4 linked regions of the Arabidopsis thaliana genome follow. The protein of the gene in region 1 interacts with the protein of each later gene in a pairwise test. Each region holds a gene or a part of one and is shown on either strand. Other genes may lie near its edges.

The links.
Region 2: the proteins of AT4G00980 (region 1) and AT5G09240 interact in a two-hybrid assay, tested with the Arabidopsis thaliana proteins (one large-scale study listed by BioGRID).
Region 3: the proteins of AT4G00980 (region 1) and KIWI interact in a two-hybrid assay, tested with the Arabidopsis thaliana proteins (one large-scale study listed by BioGRID).
Region 4: the proteins of AT4G00980 (region 1) and FTRA2 interact in a two-hybrid assay, tested with the Arabidopsis thaliana proteins (one large-scale study listed by BioGRID).

Annotation. Positions count from the first base shown.
Region 1 is NC_003075.7:421,912-426,182, reverse strand, and holds AT4G00980 (zinc knuckle (CCHC-type) family protein), read left to right. Parts: upstream 1-1,594; 5' UTR 1,595-1,602; coding exon 1,603-1,926; intron 1,927-2,043; coding exon 2,044-2,134; intron 2,135-2,248; coding exon 2,249-2,339; intron 2,340-2,490; coding exon 2,491-3,451; 3' UTR 3,452-3,705; downstream 3,706-4,271.
Region 2 is NC_003076.8:2,873,092-2,876,630, forward strand, and holds AT5G09240 (ssDNA-binding transcriptional regulator), read right to left. Parts: upstream 1,759-3,539; 5' UTR 1,690-1,758; coding exon 1,558-1,689; intron 1,445-1,557; coding exon 1,333-1,444; intron 1,048-1,332; coding exon of another isoform or gene 975-1,047; coding exon 802-974; 3' UTR 569-801; downstream 1-568. Other genes in the region: SRT2 (sirtuin 2), read left to right, coding at 53-180, 253-352, 472-522; KIWI (ssDNA-binding transcriptional regulator), read right to left, coding at 2,395-2,513, 2,885-2,990, 3,143-3,277.
Region 3 is NC_003076.8:2,874,688-2,878,535, forward strand, and holds KIWI (ssDNA-binding transcriptional regulator), read right to left. Parts: upstream 1,923-3,848; 5' UTR 1,793-1,922; intron 1,691-1,792; 5' UTR 1,682-1,690; coding exon 1,547-1,681; intron 1,435-1,546; coding exon of another isoform or gene 1,395-1,434; coding exon 1,289-1,394; coding exon of another isoform or gene 1,272-1,288; exon of another isoform or gene 918-1,271; coding exon 799-917; 3' UTR 794-798; coding exon of another isoform or gene 734-793; 3' UTR 501-733; downstream 1-500. Other genes in the region: AT5G09240 (ssDNA-binding transcriptional regulator), read right to left, coding at 1-93; VPS20.2 (vacuolar protein sorting-associated protein 20.2), read left to right, coding at 2,110-2,211, 2,576-2,728, 2,882-3,034, 3,191-3,274, 3,433-3,565, 3,643-3,668. UniProt on the Arabidopsis thaliana protein: General coactivator that functions cooperatively with TAFs and mediates functional interactions between upstream activators and the general transcriptional machinery. Binds single-stranded DNA.
Region 4 is NC_003076.8:2,709,252-2,712,221, forward strand, and holds FTRA2 (ferredoxin/thioredoxin reductase subunit A (variable subunit) 2), read right to left. Parts: upstream 1,348-2,970; 5' UTR 1,338-1,347; coding exon 723-1,337; 3' UTR 559-722; downstream 1-558. Other genes in the region: AT5G08415 (Radical SAM superfamily protein), read right to left, coding at 1,732-1,809, 1,913-2,023, 2,146-2,317, 2,530-2,687, 2,805-2,895. UniProt on the Arabidopsis thaliana protein: Variable subunit of the ferredoxin-thioredoxin reductase (FTR), which catalyzes the two-electron reduction of thioredoxins by the electrons provided by reduced ferredoxin.

The sequences.
Region 1 (4,271 bases):
AATGTGGGTAGAAAGTTTCATGGAGGAGCTGAATCATTTGCTGACCGGCGGAAGATTTCTCCGGCGAAGCAGTGACGGGGCATGTGCTGAAACGTTGATCTACGCTGCAATCTCCACATTGCATACATGTGTCATCATATTGTCTATTTAATGTTTGCAATTAGTGGGCTTTTGGCCTCAAGTTGTACCTGTTTATGAAGCCCATTTGGGCTAATTAATAGAAAAATGTTTGCCGTTAAAAAAAAAAAAAAAAAAGTGGTTCGATGGTCGTAAATAACTTTTATGGGTTTTGGTCTTGGGTTAGAGAATTCAAATTCATGGGCCAACCCAATTTTCATTTTAAGTGCTTCTTCTATGATGACATTTCACGAAAATAATACAATGGATTGTCGAGGAAAGAAGTGATGTTTTCTGTAAATTGTTAGGCATTAGTTATTGGAGAAGCGAAATGTGAAATGCACATTGTTTGTTGGCTATTAACTTGCTTTTAAAGGTGACTTGAACATATTTGGTGTCTTATGTTGATTCCGAAGCTATGAGTACTTTTGATCAATCTAGTTTATGAAGTTACTTTTAGCATCGCCTTCTCGATTTTGTTACTGCCATCACATGTCAAGTTGGTTTTGATGTTTTGTAAGCATTGATAAGCTTTAACGAACAAACTTTTTTTTGTTATCATTACTGCGTATTGGAGTTTTGCATTACATCTTTTGCTTCTCTTATGGCTGAGCAGGGCCGGCCCTGGGCTAAAGTTGGTGAAACTCATGCTTTACGCGCCTAAAATTATAGATAATATTAAAGGGCATCAAATTTTAAAAATGTTTCGTAGTCTAGTGATTGTTTCATAGATTAGTGACTCTTTCGTGGACAGTTCGAACCTTACCTTCGTTTTTTTGAGACTTTAATTATAAATAGATTTAAAATGCTTAAGAATTTTAAATGAGCTTAAAGATGTTTTAGGCATCAAAATCTGTTGGGTTAGCCCTCTGGCTGAGTCTGAGCTCGCAGCATGCAATACTAATTTCTTAAGCTGCAATGCAGTGAGAAGACAAGTAAAACAAGATTAACATTAGCCCAAACTAGATTATTCACAACAAATGTTAATGACTATTACCTTGCTATCTTTATATTTAGCCTCTTTTGTTTGAGCTTAATTTTCAAAAATAATTTGCTTTCTGTCGGTTTAGTTTCTAGAAGGATTCGACTCTTAGTATCTTATCGGCTTCGTGAAGAAAAACTGTATTTCACCCATATATTTCTCAATCGTATTCGTATCTCACCCATGTATTCATATATCGTATTATAAAACAGAAAAGATATATAGATAAGGAAAAAAAACTCATATATATATATTTGCATATATAAAGTATTAAATGCAACAGCTATAGCAAAAAGGTTCTATGGTCTAGCGGTTAGGACATTGGACTCTGAATCCAGTAACCCGAGTTCAATTCTCGGTAGAACCTCTTTTTTTCACACTCCGGCCAAATTTTTTCCCCCGGCGATTTATGAACCCTAAATATAACGCCGGCCAACAACCAAAACTCGACGCTACTGCGAAATCTTTTTCTTTATCCTTTTTTTTCTTCTTTTTCGGGCGAAATGGAGAATTCGTTGCTTGATTCTGGTGAAACTATGGAGATTGTCGCTACACAAAAAATCGAGGAAACAGTGAAGAGCATACTCAGTGAATCTGATATGGACCAAATGACGGAGTTCAAACTCCGACTTGACGCTTCGGCTAAACTCGGTATCGACTTATCGGGAACCAATCACAAGAAGCTAGTCAGAGATGTTCTTGAGGTCTTTTTGCTATCGACTCCCGGTGAAGCACTCGTACCGGAGACGGTGGCTCCGGCGAAAAATGAGACAGTTTCTGTTGCTGCCGCTTCCGTTGGTGGTGAAGATGAGCGCTTTATTTGTAAGGTTGCGACTTTGCCTATTTGTTCTATGTTTGATTCACTGTATAGAGTAGAGATTGTGATCATCTCGATTTTGAGTTTTTCAGTGGTCACTGTAGAAATTGTTGGTCTTTAACTGTAGTTATCGGAGAAGCAAAATGCGACGGTTCAAAGATACAGAGGCCAACCTTTTCTATCGATTGGTTCTCAGGAACATGGAAAGGCTTTTAGAGGTAATTTGAAACACAACTTGGTGTCTTGGTCTTGACTATGAAGCTATAAGTAGCCATTTTTGTTTTAGATATGCTCCTGTTGATTTCAATTGTTAGATGTTTCTTCTCTGTCAGGAGCACATTTGTCAACTAACCAATGGTCTGTAATCAAGAAGAATTTTGCAGCGATAGAGGACGGTATTAAGCAGTGCCAATCAAAACTAAAGTAAGAATGTGTACCTTATTTTAAGTCTATAAAGATTCATGTTCCCTGGCATTGCTTTTAGTGTTTTATGGTCATATAATCATCGTGGCATAGGGCATTACTGTCTGGCTAGCAATGTAGGCTGCTTATCTTGCTATTAAACGTTATGCAGATCTGAAGCAGCACGAAATGGAGATACTTCTGAGGCTGTGGATAAGGACAGCTCTCACGGTTTTTCTGTTATCAAGATTTCACGATTTGATGGAAAGAGTTATCTTTACTGGGCTTCACAGATGGAACTCTTTCTGAAGCAATTGAAGCTGACTTATGTACTCTCTGAACCTTGTCCCAGTATTGGTAGCTCTCAAGGCCCTGAAACCAACCCCAGGGAAATAACTCGAGCTGATGCTACGGGGAAAAAATGGTTGAGAGATGATTACCTGTGCTATACTCACTTGATGAACTCCTTGTCAGATCATCTATACCGTCGATACTCTCAGAAATTTAAGCATGCCAAAGAATTGTGGGACGAGTTAAAATGGGTCTACCAGTGTGATGAATCCAAATCGAAGAGGTCACAAGTCAGAAAGTACATTGAATTCAGAATGGTGGAAGAGAGACCGATACTCGAGCAAGTCCAAGTCTTTAACAAGATTGCGGATTCCATAGTGAGTGCTGGTATGTTTCTTGATGAGGCATTTCATGTGAGTACCATCATCTCCAAGTTTCCCCCGTCTTGGAGAGGCTTCTGCACCAGGTTAATGGAAGAGGAGTATTTACCAGTCTGGATGTTGATGGAACGAGTAAAAGCTGAGGAAGAGCTTCTCAGAAATGGAGCAAAAGGGGTTACATATAGACCAGCCACAGGCTCCTCTCAGATGGAAAGGACACCGAGTCTAGGAACAACACATAGAGGATCTCAGAGCGTAGGTTGGAAGAGGAAAGAACCTGAGAGAGACGAGAGAGTCATCATCGTCTGTGACAACTGTGGGAGGAAAGGACATCTCGCAAAGCATTGCTGGGGTAGTAAATCTGATGAGAGAGCTTCCGGAAAATCAAACCGGATCAACTCCTCAGTCGCTGCACCTGTGGAATCAGAGACTCAAGCAACAACAAACAATGATAGGGGGTAGTAGTTGATGATTGCTGAAGCCAAAATGTTTATATCTCTTCACAGATATACTTAAAGAGGTAAGTCTTTTGAATACCGTTGATTCAGGATTCAGAAGCAGTCCTTTTATGACCTTTTTTCAGCTTGTCCATATGTCTGGCCTATTAGATTTATGACACTGAAATGTATAAAAGAAGAACAGAGAGATGACCAATAGATCAGTTTTGGCCTGATTTAATGTAAAAGTATACTTTTATGAATGATAATTTTTTTGTCAAAATTGCTTTTTAAATCCTATTTTGAGGAACCAAAATAAAAACAGAAACCTCAAAACTGATATACAAACAAATAAACTGACATCAATTGAGGTGACAATACTTAACACACAACCAAAAATTAAGAGTTTCTTTGTCCCAAGCGTTATGGAAGATATTCTCAGCCTCTAAAATTAAACTTGAACGTCGAAATTTTAAAAAGGACCAGATGGAGAGTAATATAAAATTAGCGGGTGAAAAATAGAAGAAATTAAAAGTTTCAGGGTGAAAAGGAAAAAAAATGAAACCTGTCAGACCGCCGTGCGACCACCCCGGCAAGGGAGAACCGAGCCGAGTAACCATCCTCTACAGCACCGGATGCATCCAAGGACAATCGTAGCCGTCAATCACGCTCAAGCCGCACGGTCACGGTTCATCAACAAGGGTTTAGGGCCTGTCTCTTGAGAAATTTTCTCAAGAAAACAGATGTACGAGCCTATAGTTCAAGTAAGGTCGTGACCATTGATGCTTTGTATCCATATATAAAGAAAACGTTTCTCCACTAGCTTATCGATGTGGGACGCAAAA
Region 2 (3,539 bases), on another chromosome or scaffold:
AGAGACGAATCAGTTTAGCTCTGTTTCTTATTATGTTCTCGTTGAATTGAAGGTAATTTTCTTTGGAGACAACATCCCGAAGGAAAGAGCTACTCAAGCAATGGAAGTTGCAAAACAGAGCGATGCATTCCTCGTGTTGGGTTCATCCTTAATGACAATGTCTGCTTTTCGCCTTTGCAGGTGATGCAGGAGAATAATCATCCAGTTTTGAGTTTGCATCTTACTAAGAAGCTTTCTATATACCTTTTGCAGAGCGGCTCATGAGGCTGGTGCTATGACCGCAATTGTAAATATAGGCGAAACAAGAGCTGATGACATTGTTCCATTGAAAATCAATGCTAGGGTTGGTGAGGTATGAGCATAGCATAAAGCTCTTCCCTTTCCTTCAGCCTTGAAAATGCCTTAAATATCCATATTATTTCATGATTGTCAGCCTTAATAATTTGTCATTTCGTGATTGGTTTGCTGCAGATATTGCACAGAGTTCTTGACGTGGGATCGCTCAGTGTCCCAGCTCTCTAGCACAATGTCCGGATCATTTAAGTAAACTTTGGCAAGAGCTATGTTATCATTTAGATCACCTATATATATTATTTATAACTAATCAAAATGAATGCTTGTATTCCTGCAACGTATCTCAAGTTGTAAATCCAACATCAAATAAAAGAGTAATCAACATCAAATAATAGATTCAACACATGAACTAACTCGAAGCAGCTAACACTTGCAGAACATGGTGTTGTTCTGAAAAACAAACCAAAACAACCAAAGCCACCTTCCAATACCCGATTACACAAGCTTTTAAACCTCAGAAAGCTCAGAGAGGGCCTTATCGATATCCTCCTCATGGTTCCGAAGATCGTTCCACTGCATTAAGAAAAAGGTCTCGTGTAATAAGCAGGACATATGCACGTGTGGAAGACATAAACAATGGAAGAGAGATGTGAATACCTGTTCCAGGCTTAGAGAGATACCTGCAACATATAGGAGACATCGAAAATCTTGTCAACATGATTATGCAAAGAAAGCAAACTAATATAGCTGGCCCTAGGAGACAAAAACCAAGACGTTGTTGATGAAAAGAAAACACTCTGCGCATCTCCTCCTCTCAGTCCCAAACCGCAGAAGTACTAGATATATAATAAAAGTCCCTAAGATCTGCTAACTAAATGCAGAACCTTAACGAAACAAAACATGAAAACAAAGGGATGAGGATACATTGTTGACCATAAAAAAGAAAAGAGAGGAGGATACAGAGTATTAGCAAATGTGGAATTGTGAGAAGAAGAGAGACAGTCAAAAGAAGATATGTAGTTAAAAACAAAAATTTACCTTGCTTGCTATTACAAGGTAAAGTTATACCGTCCTTGACAAAGAACTGACGAATGGCAATCCAAATCCTCCCATTGCAATTCCTCACAAAGACTCTCCGATTCTTATCTAACTGGAATGTAAACAAAACATAACATCATAAACAAATATCACAACTTGATCCAAACCCTAAAACTCATACGAACTGCTACAGACAAAAAAGAGATGAATAGTAGAGAGACTAACATTGCAGATGAAGATGTCCTCAATCTCGTCCGCTGGCTTTGCCACTTTCTTAGGCGGCGCGTGGGTCTCAGATTCGTCGCGGTCGTCTGATGCTCTGACATCCTCGTCTTTCCTTTTTCCGTTCTCAGACATTTTCTTAACCTCTAAAAAAAACACTCTTCTACTGCAAAAATTGACTCTTGAGATTCTCAAGTTAAATAAAAAGCACCTCTCTCCTTTTCTCGCGTAATATATCTACTGCGTTCACCGAATTACAACTGTGATATCAGATTCGGAACGCCATTTTACAAGCGCACAGTTTGAGAACACGCGCGGCCAAACTTAAAACGGGGGAGTTTTTTGGGAAGGTAAATATTCTTTGGAAAAGAGCAACTATAGCAATGAAAGTAGCAACACAGAGTGATACATTTATTGTGATGGGTTCATCTTCAAAGACAATGTCTGCTTATGGCCTTGTCCGGATCAAGTGAAGTTTGGCAAGAGCTATGTAACATTTAGACCTATCTTGTTTATAACTTATCAAATGAATACTTGTATTCCTGCAACGTATCTTAATTTGCAAATAAAACAGCACTACAGCAGTAAATAAAAGAGCAATCATTATATTCTTAATACCAACCAAAGCTTGTCTGAACCAAAAGTGAAAGATTCCATACACCAACTAATTTGAAGCAGCTTACACTAGCAGAACATGGTGTTGTTCTACAAAAACAACCAAAACAACTGAGCCATATTCTAATAGACGTACAACCAATGATACAAGTTTTAAAACCTAAGAAAGGTCAGAGAGGGCCTTCTCGATATCCTCTGCGTGGTTCCGAAGAGTGTTCCACTGCATTAAGGAAAAGCTGTGTAATAAGCAAATAACAAGAAAACAGAAACACTTCTAGGAGACATAAAACAGTGGAGAGAGATAGAAAGAGATGTGAGTACCTGATCCACGCTTAGAGAGATACCTGCAACGTATAACAAACATAGAGATAATCTTGTCAACATGATTAGTTATGTAGAGATAAACTAATATAGCTGTCTCTAGAGAAAGACATGAAGGAGCAATAGCACCAAAATAAACAAAACGTTGTTGTACAAAAGCAAACACTCTGCACCATCTCCGCTCATACTTACAAGTCCATAAACAGTCTCAATAAGCAGAATTGCCTATTATAAAACCCTAAGATATGCAATTCTATAAACCTGACTAAATGCAGAAACTTAACAAAGCAAAACAGTAACGAAATATAAAACTAAGAGATGAGGAAACACATTACTAGAAATAATGAATTATGAGAGCCAAGGGGCATTGGTTTAAATTACAAAATAAAGTTACCTTTCTTGCCAGGCAAAGTCTTTCCGTCCTTGACATAGAACTCACGAATGTCAATCCAAATCTTCCCGTTCCAATTCCTTACAGAGACTCTCCTATTCTTAGATATCTGATGTATAACCAACATGAACCCTAATTTGATTAAAACCCTAATTTTGAGCAAAACACATCAACAAAATTAAAACTTGACCGAAACCCATAAGCTCACTGCTAATAGAGTAGATAACGAAATTGAAAGATAGACAGAAAGTGTAGACTAACGTTGCAGACGACGATATCGTCAGACTGGTCGGAATCGTCTGCTGGCTTTGCGACTTTCTTAGCCGGCGCGTGGGTTTCAGATTCGTCATCTGATGCTCTGACATCTTCGTCTTTCCTTTTTCCTCTAGAAGACATTTTCTCCAACTGTAAATAAGCAGACCCAAAATGTTCTCTTCAGACCAGAGTAAACTCGCACTAAACAAAAAACCGAGCAATTACAAAATTTAGTAAAAGTGAGAAGGAAACCTGGTCGTGACGCTGCAACGAGTTTCTCGGAGACGGCGAAAGGACTCTTCTACTGCGAAATCGACAAAAGAGAATTGAGAGATTCTGAAGAAAAATGAATCGGCGCGTCTCTTCTCGCGTATTTATGTTAATGTGTTCACCGACCACGCGC
Region 3 (3,848 bases), on another chromosome or scaffold:
TGCCACTTTCTTAGGCGGCGCGTGGGTCTCAGATTCGTCGCGGTCGTCTGATGCTCTGACATCCTCGTCTTTCCTTTTTCCGTTCTCAGACATTTTCTTAACCTCTAAAAAAAACACTCTTCTACTGCAAAAATTGACTCTTGAGATTCTCAAGTTAAATAAAAAGCACCTCTCTCCTTTTCTCGCGTAATATATCTACTGCGTTCACCGAATTACAACTGTGATATCAGATTCGGAACGCCATTTTACAAGCGCACAGTTTGAGAACACGCGCGGCCAAACTTAAAACGGGGGAGTTTTTTGGGAAGGTAAATATTCTTTGGAAAAGAGCAACTATAGCAATGAAAGTAGCAACACAGAGTGATACATTTATTGTGATGGGTTCATCTTCAAAGACAATGTCTGCTTATGGCCTTGTCCGGATCAAGTGAAGTTTGGCAAGAGCTATGTAACATTTAGACCTATCTTGTTTATAACTTATCAAATGAATACTTGTATTCCTGCAACGTATCTTAATTTGCAAATAAAACAGCACTACAGCAGTAAATAAAAGAGCAATCATTATATTCTTAATACCAACCAAAGCTTGTCTGAACCAAAAGTGAAAGATTCCATACACCAACTAATTTGAAGCAGCTTACACTAGCAGAACATGGTGTTGTTCTACAAAAACAACCAAAACAACTGAGCCATATTCTAATAGACGTACAACCAATGATACAAGTTTTAAAACCTAAGAAAGGTCAGAGAGGGCCTTCTCGATATCCTCTGCGTGGTTCCGAAGAGTGTTCCACTGCATTAAGGAAAAGCTGTGTAATAAGCAAATAACAAGAAAACAGAAACACTTCTAGGAGACATAAAACAGTGGAGAGAGATAGAAAGAGATGTGAGTACCTGATCCACGCTTAGAGAGATACCTGCAACGTATAACAAACATAGAGATAATCTTGTCAACATGATTAGTTATGTAGAGATAAACTAATATAGCTGTCTCTAGAGAAAGACATGAAGGAGCAATAGCACCAAAATAAACAAAACGTTGTTGTACAAAAGCAAACACTCTGCACCATCTCCGCTCATACTTACAAGTCCATAAACAGTCTCAATAAGCAGAATTGCCTATTATAAAACCCTAAGATATGCAATTCTATAAACCTGACTAAATGCAGAAACTTAACAAAGCAAAACAGTAACGAAATATAAAACTAAGAGATGAGGAAACACATTACTAGAAATAATGAATTATGAGAGCCAAGGGGCATTGGTTTAAATTACAAAATAAAGTTACCTTTCTTGCCAGGCAAAGTCTTTCCGTCCTTGACATAGAACTCACGAATGTCAATCCAAATCTTCCCGTTCCAATTCCTTACAGAGACTCTCCTATTCTTAGATATCTGATGTATAACCAACATGAACCCTAATTTGATTAAAACCCTAATTTTGAGCAAAACACATCAACAAAATTAAAACTTGACCGAAACCCATAAGCTCACTGCTAATAGAGTAGATAACGAAATTGAAAGATAGACAGAAAGTGTAGACTAACGTTGCAGACGACGATATCGTCAGACTGGTCGGAATCGTCTGCTGGCTTTGCGACTTTCTTAGCCGGCGCGTGGGTTTCAGATTCGTCATCTGATGCTCTGACATCTTCGTCTTTCCTTTTTCCTCTAGAAGACATTTTCTCCAACTGTAAATAAGCAGACCCAAAATGTTCTCTTCAGACCAGAGTAAACTCGCACTAAACAAAAAACCGAGCAATTACAAAATTTAGTAAAAGTGAGAAGGAAACCTGGTCGTGACGCTGCAACGAGTTTCTCGGAGACGGCGAAAGGACTCTTCTACTGCGAAATCGACAAAAGAGAATTGAGAGATTCTGAAGAAAAATGAATCGGCGCGTCTCTTCTCGCGTATTTATGTTAATGTGTTCACCGACCACGCGCTGTTGCAGAGCGTGTGATAAAATTAGAACTGTGACAGTTGTTTTGATTCGGAACGCTTTTTTATAAACGCGAATTTGAGAAAACGCGGGAGCTTTTTTGCTTGGGAAAGGTGAAAACAAAAAGATTTGGACTTGGTTTGAAATCGCCGAACCCTTGACAAAACTCGATGGGGAATTTATTCGTGAAGAAACCGAAGATCACGGAGGTTGATCGAGCGATTCTCTCTCTCAAAACCCAAAGGCGCAAGCTTGGTCAATATCAGCAACAGGTTCTTGATTCCTTCGCCTTGTGATTTCGCATTTCTAGGGTTTATTCTTGCTCGAATTTGGTCTGAGACAGAAAGTGCAGTTTGATTCGATTCACTAATGGTTATGAATAAGGGTAAAGGTTACTGAATTTCGGCTATGGGTTCTCGAGGTTTAAGAAGCAGTTAAATGTAGAAGTTGCCTTCAGAATCTGTCTTGGATCCAAATGTTGATTCTTATGTCAAGCTAATGATGGTTTAATTATTTCATCGCCACTATTGGTAGATAGTGAGTTTGATCGCTGAGAAAGTGGAATGCAAATGTTTTTTTTTTCTTTCCTATGATCCTGAGCTTTGACCTTTCTTTCTCTTAAACCTTTCTTTTTAGCTTGAGAAAGTAATTGAAGCAGAAAAGCAAGCTGCAAGAGACTTAATCCGTGAGAAGCGAAAGGACAGGGCTTTGTTAGCATTGAAGAAAAAACGGACACAAGAAGAGTTGTTGAAGCAAGTAGATCAGTGGCTCATCAATGTCGAACAACAAGTAAATTGGCTTGACCTTCTTCTTATCATCTCCTTGTTTCCATCACATAACCTTAGTGCTATATAAACAGTACTTTTCTTTTCTTTTATAGCTGATTTTATGTTTTGAAAGAAACATAAACGAATATATTTTGAACCTGTCTTTATGACTCAGTTGGCAGATATCGAACTTACAAGCAAGCAAAAAGCAGTCTTTGAGAGCTTAAAGCAAGGTAACAATGCAATTAAGGCGATTCAGAGCGAGGTCAACCTTGATGATGTTCAAAAACTGATGGATGACACTGCCGAGGCCAAGGCTTATCAGGATGTGAGTTAATAGTGAATCTTGTTGTTCCTTTTTGTTTGTGTGGTTCGCTTATAGTTACAATCATTTGTCACATTTGCCGAGCTTCTCCTTGTTTTTCTCCTTCATGGTTATGAGTATTCCCTTGCTTGATCTAACTGTTAAACACTTTGATTTTAGGAACTGAGTGCCATATTAGGTGAGAAACTATCAGCGGAAGATGAAGAAGAGATCTTAGCAGAATTCGACAACCTAGAAAGTCTGGTATGCTACATAATGGATTCTCTTGTTTCTCAGATACAATTGTTTCCAGCATTATGACCGTACTGCCCTATTGATGTTTCGAGTACCACCATTTACTTTGTGAAACAATCTTCTTGAGTGGAGTCAAATGTGATATATAATGTTTGTTTGTTTTGAAGCTGATTGTTGAAGATATGCCTGAAGTGCCTACGACAGAGCTCATGCCTGAAGAACCCGAGAAAATGGATCTCCCTGATGTGCCAACAAAAGCACCAGTCGCTTCCAATGAAACCACTTCAACAAAGAGAAAAGGTTTTTGTGATGTTTGTTCAAGTAACAATTGCTTCATACAAAGAACCTTTAACTCATAGATGCTTTTGTTGTTGCAGTTCTTGAAGAACCTTTGGAAGCTTGATTCAGAAGTGAAGAATCTGATAGACTACTACATAGCCACCTCGGATTATAATCATTCTTTGGAAACCTTTTTGTTATGGGCTCTTGAAGATCTTTGTGTATTCTCTTCTTACTCCTGCAGCTTGTAAAGAACCAAGTTCATGGAGTCTCTCTCCTTGTAAAATGGTTTGGTTGTTTCTAA
Region 4 (2,970 bases), on another chromosome or scaffold:
CCTTATCTCAGTAAATCAAAATGCTAACAACTTGAGAAGAATTACCACAATACTACTGCCCACATCATATACTCATATTATTACTACAAAAAAGAGTTGCAGCAAAGGAACCATCCACATTGACACATAAACTAATTCCTCAACACTCTCTCATGCCATCATTACTTCTAACTCAAAGACTCTTCTACAAAGATCAGAGAATGCAATCCCACATTTGATTATACGAAACAAAGAGGATAAGAACCTAGAAAACAACTGATGTCATTCCTTTTAGTTTCTGGTTCTAACTACAAACAAAGATTCTCACTATAACAATCAACTGAAAACACTCTTTAGTTACATAAACCAATATCTTTACCACTTTCATGCTCACTACCATCTACTTCATAACCTCCAACGGATGATAGATTTTGAGGATAAGATCATTCAATGATGTTCATTTGAAGTGAACACATCAAATGCAAAATCAGTTTGATAGGCTTCTAAGCTAGTCAATGGATCAATAGACAGCTTTTAGTTTCTCCAACACAAGACGAACTATATACTCTGGGAAACCAAATCAGAAGCAAGAAAACAGCAATAAAGGATTCAAGAATGGGTGAAATCTTATGTATATAATAAGCTAAATGTATACAAAAGTACATACAAACAAACCATTCACAAAAGATTTTTCAAGTCTAATATCAGAAAGAGAAGAAAAGTTTTTGCCTTTTTCAATTCAATCACGGATCAATTAACTCGAACTCGTCTTCCTTAAGATGCGTGAAGAATTTGACAGGACCACGACCTTCGATCTCTTTCACGAACTGTACCTTAAACGGCAGATTAGCTGAGATTTTCTTTCCTTTCCAAAGAACGACGTAATCTTTGATAAAACCTTCCATTCCCATCAATTCAACCTCCGGTACACGAACCACATGGTAAACTTTCAACGGAACCGTAACCCTAACCCTAGCTCCAATCTTCTCCTTCGCTTTCTCGTCTTCCTCCGTCTCCAACGACGTAGATGACGATAGATCAGCGTCCGCGTCTACAGAAGCCGCCGATTTCACAGCAATATCGCAACGAATCGTCGATTTTGGATTCTTCCGCGAGATTGAGAAGGCGCATTTGCTTCGACCGTAGGAAGTAGATAATGAGATAGGTACGAAAATGGACGAAGATGAAGAGTTGATCGATTTGCGTCCACTAAGAGAAGCAGCAACTAGATAGTCTTGAGATGCCGGAGGACGAACGGCGGCGATAATCGCCGGTGACAGAGCGTAACTGTTAGTCATCTGCGTCCGAGCCGAAGAAAAAAATCTTAAGAAAGTGTGAGAGAAAACAAAAAAGATCATATCATTTAGCCCCTCATCTATTTATATTAGATGGTTAATTTAATCAAGGTGATTACTAATTTTGCTAATTATTTGGTTTAAATTAAAAGTCGGATTATTTTTGGATAAAGAAAGGCGACGCGTGTCAGACTTAAGACAATGTAAGAGATGAGGAACTTGTGGCTTCAGATAGAGAATCAACACTGTAAATATCTTGAGACAATTTCCAGATATTATTGGCAGGATTTTATAATAACACAAAACTAGTATATATAAACTTTTATATATCCACAATGGTTTCCAAATCAATTACCAAAATAAATGAAGTCTATTAAAAGAAACAAACAAAAAAGATAGGAAGAAGGCTTTGTGGTCTCAGCAATCATTTTTGGCATTATAGTAGCCATTGTTGTTATTAAGACAAGGATTTAGAGTAGCTTTCTTTCACCATTGTCTTAACAAAAAGCTCTCCTGCTCTATATGAAGATCTTACCTGCAAAAAGTATATATCCAATATCAAACAAGTACATTTCTGTATCTTCTATGTTCTCAGATATTTTTTGACATAAAGAGTAAGAAATAGTTTGTGGCTTTACCAGTGGACCACTTGCAACATAACGAAATCCTATTGATTCTCCGTATGTTTTCCAGAAATCAAACTTCTCAGGTGTGACATACTCTTTCACAGTCAGATGCAATGGAGTTGGCTTCATTGTGGAACAAGAGAAACGGTTTTAAATCGTAGATGTTCTTTGAAATTTGGGATCTTTCTATCTTGGAAATAGGAATATTGCGAATGATGTGGGGAATGTTGAAGTGATTAGTTTACCTGTAGATACTGGCCAAGTGTTAGAATATCAACATCTATAGCTCTTAGATCAGCCATTGCTTCCTTCAACTCTTCGTCTGTTTCTCCAAGACCAAGCATTATGGATGTCTTTGTGATCATTCCAGGTTTGCTGATCTTTGCATGTTTCAAAACTGACATGCTCTGCTCATATCTGCATTCTCCACATTATATCCACATTAAAATGGAGATTTACTACAACTAAAGATGCAGAACACCACCTATGTCTCACTTTAGGAGATATTTGACTGTGTAATATGAGATTGACATCCCGGAGCAGAGGATCAATTCACTGCTCAGCCCATCTATGCCATAACCAAATTTGCAGAACATATAAAAAAATGAAGAACAAGAAACAGCACTCACCCAGCCCTAGGATCCCTCACAAGTCGCTGGAGCCTTTTCACAGTCTCGACATTGTGAGCAAAAACATCCAATCCCGAGTGCACAAGAGTGTCGACAGCCTCCAAATCCCCACGAAAATCAGAAGTTAAGCATTCTATCATTATATCCGGCTTATGTCTCTACAGAGATGAGATATATATTTTCATTTTCATAAATACTCTGAAACAACATTCGAGAAATGCACAAAAAGGTATGCTTAAATAACATAATGCATAAACAAATAGAATATTAATAACCTTCATAGCTTTGACAGTCTGCGCAAAATGTCCACTTCCACCATCAGGTATATCGTCACGGTCTACGCTGGTAATAACTATGTAGTCTACACTGCAACAAAGGAAAATGCAAAATAGCATATCATGATACACCCATCATAAATTAACAAAGATGCAGTAGTGACTG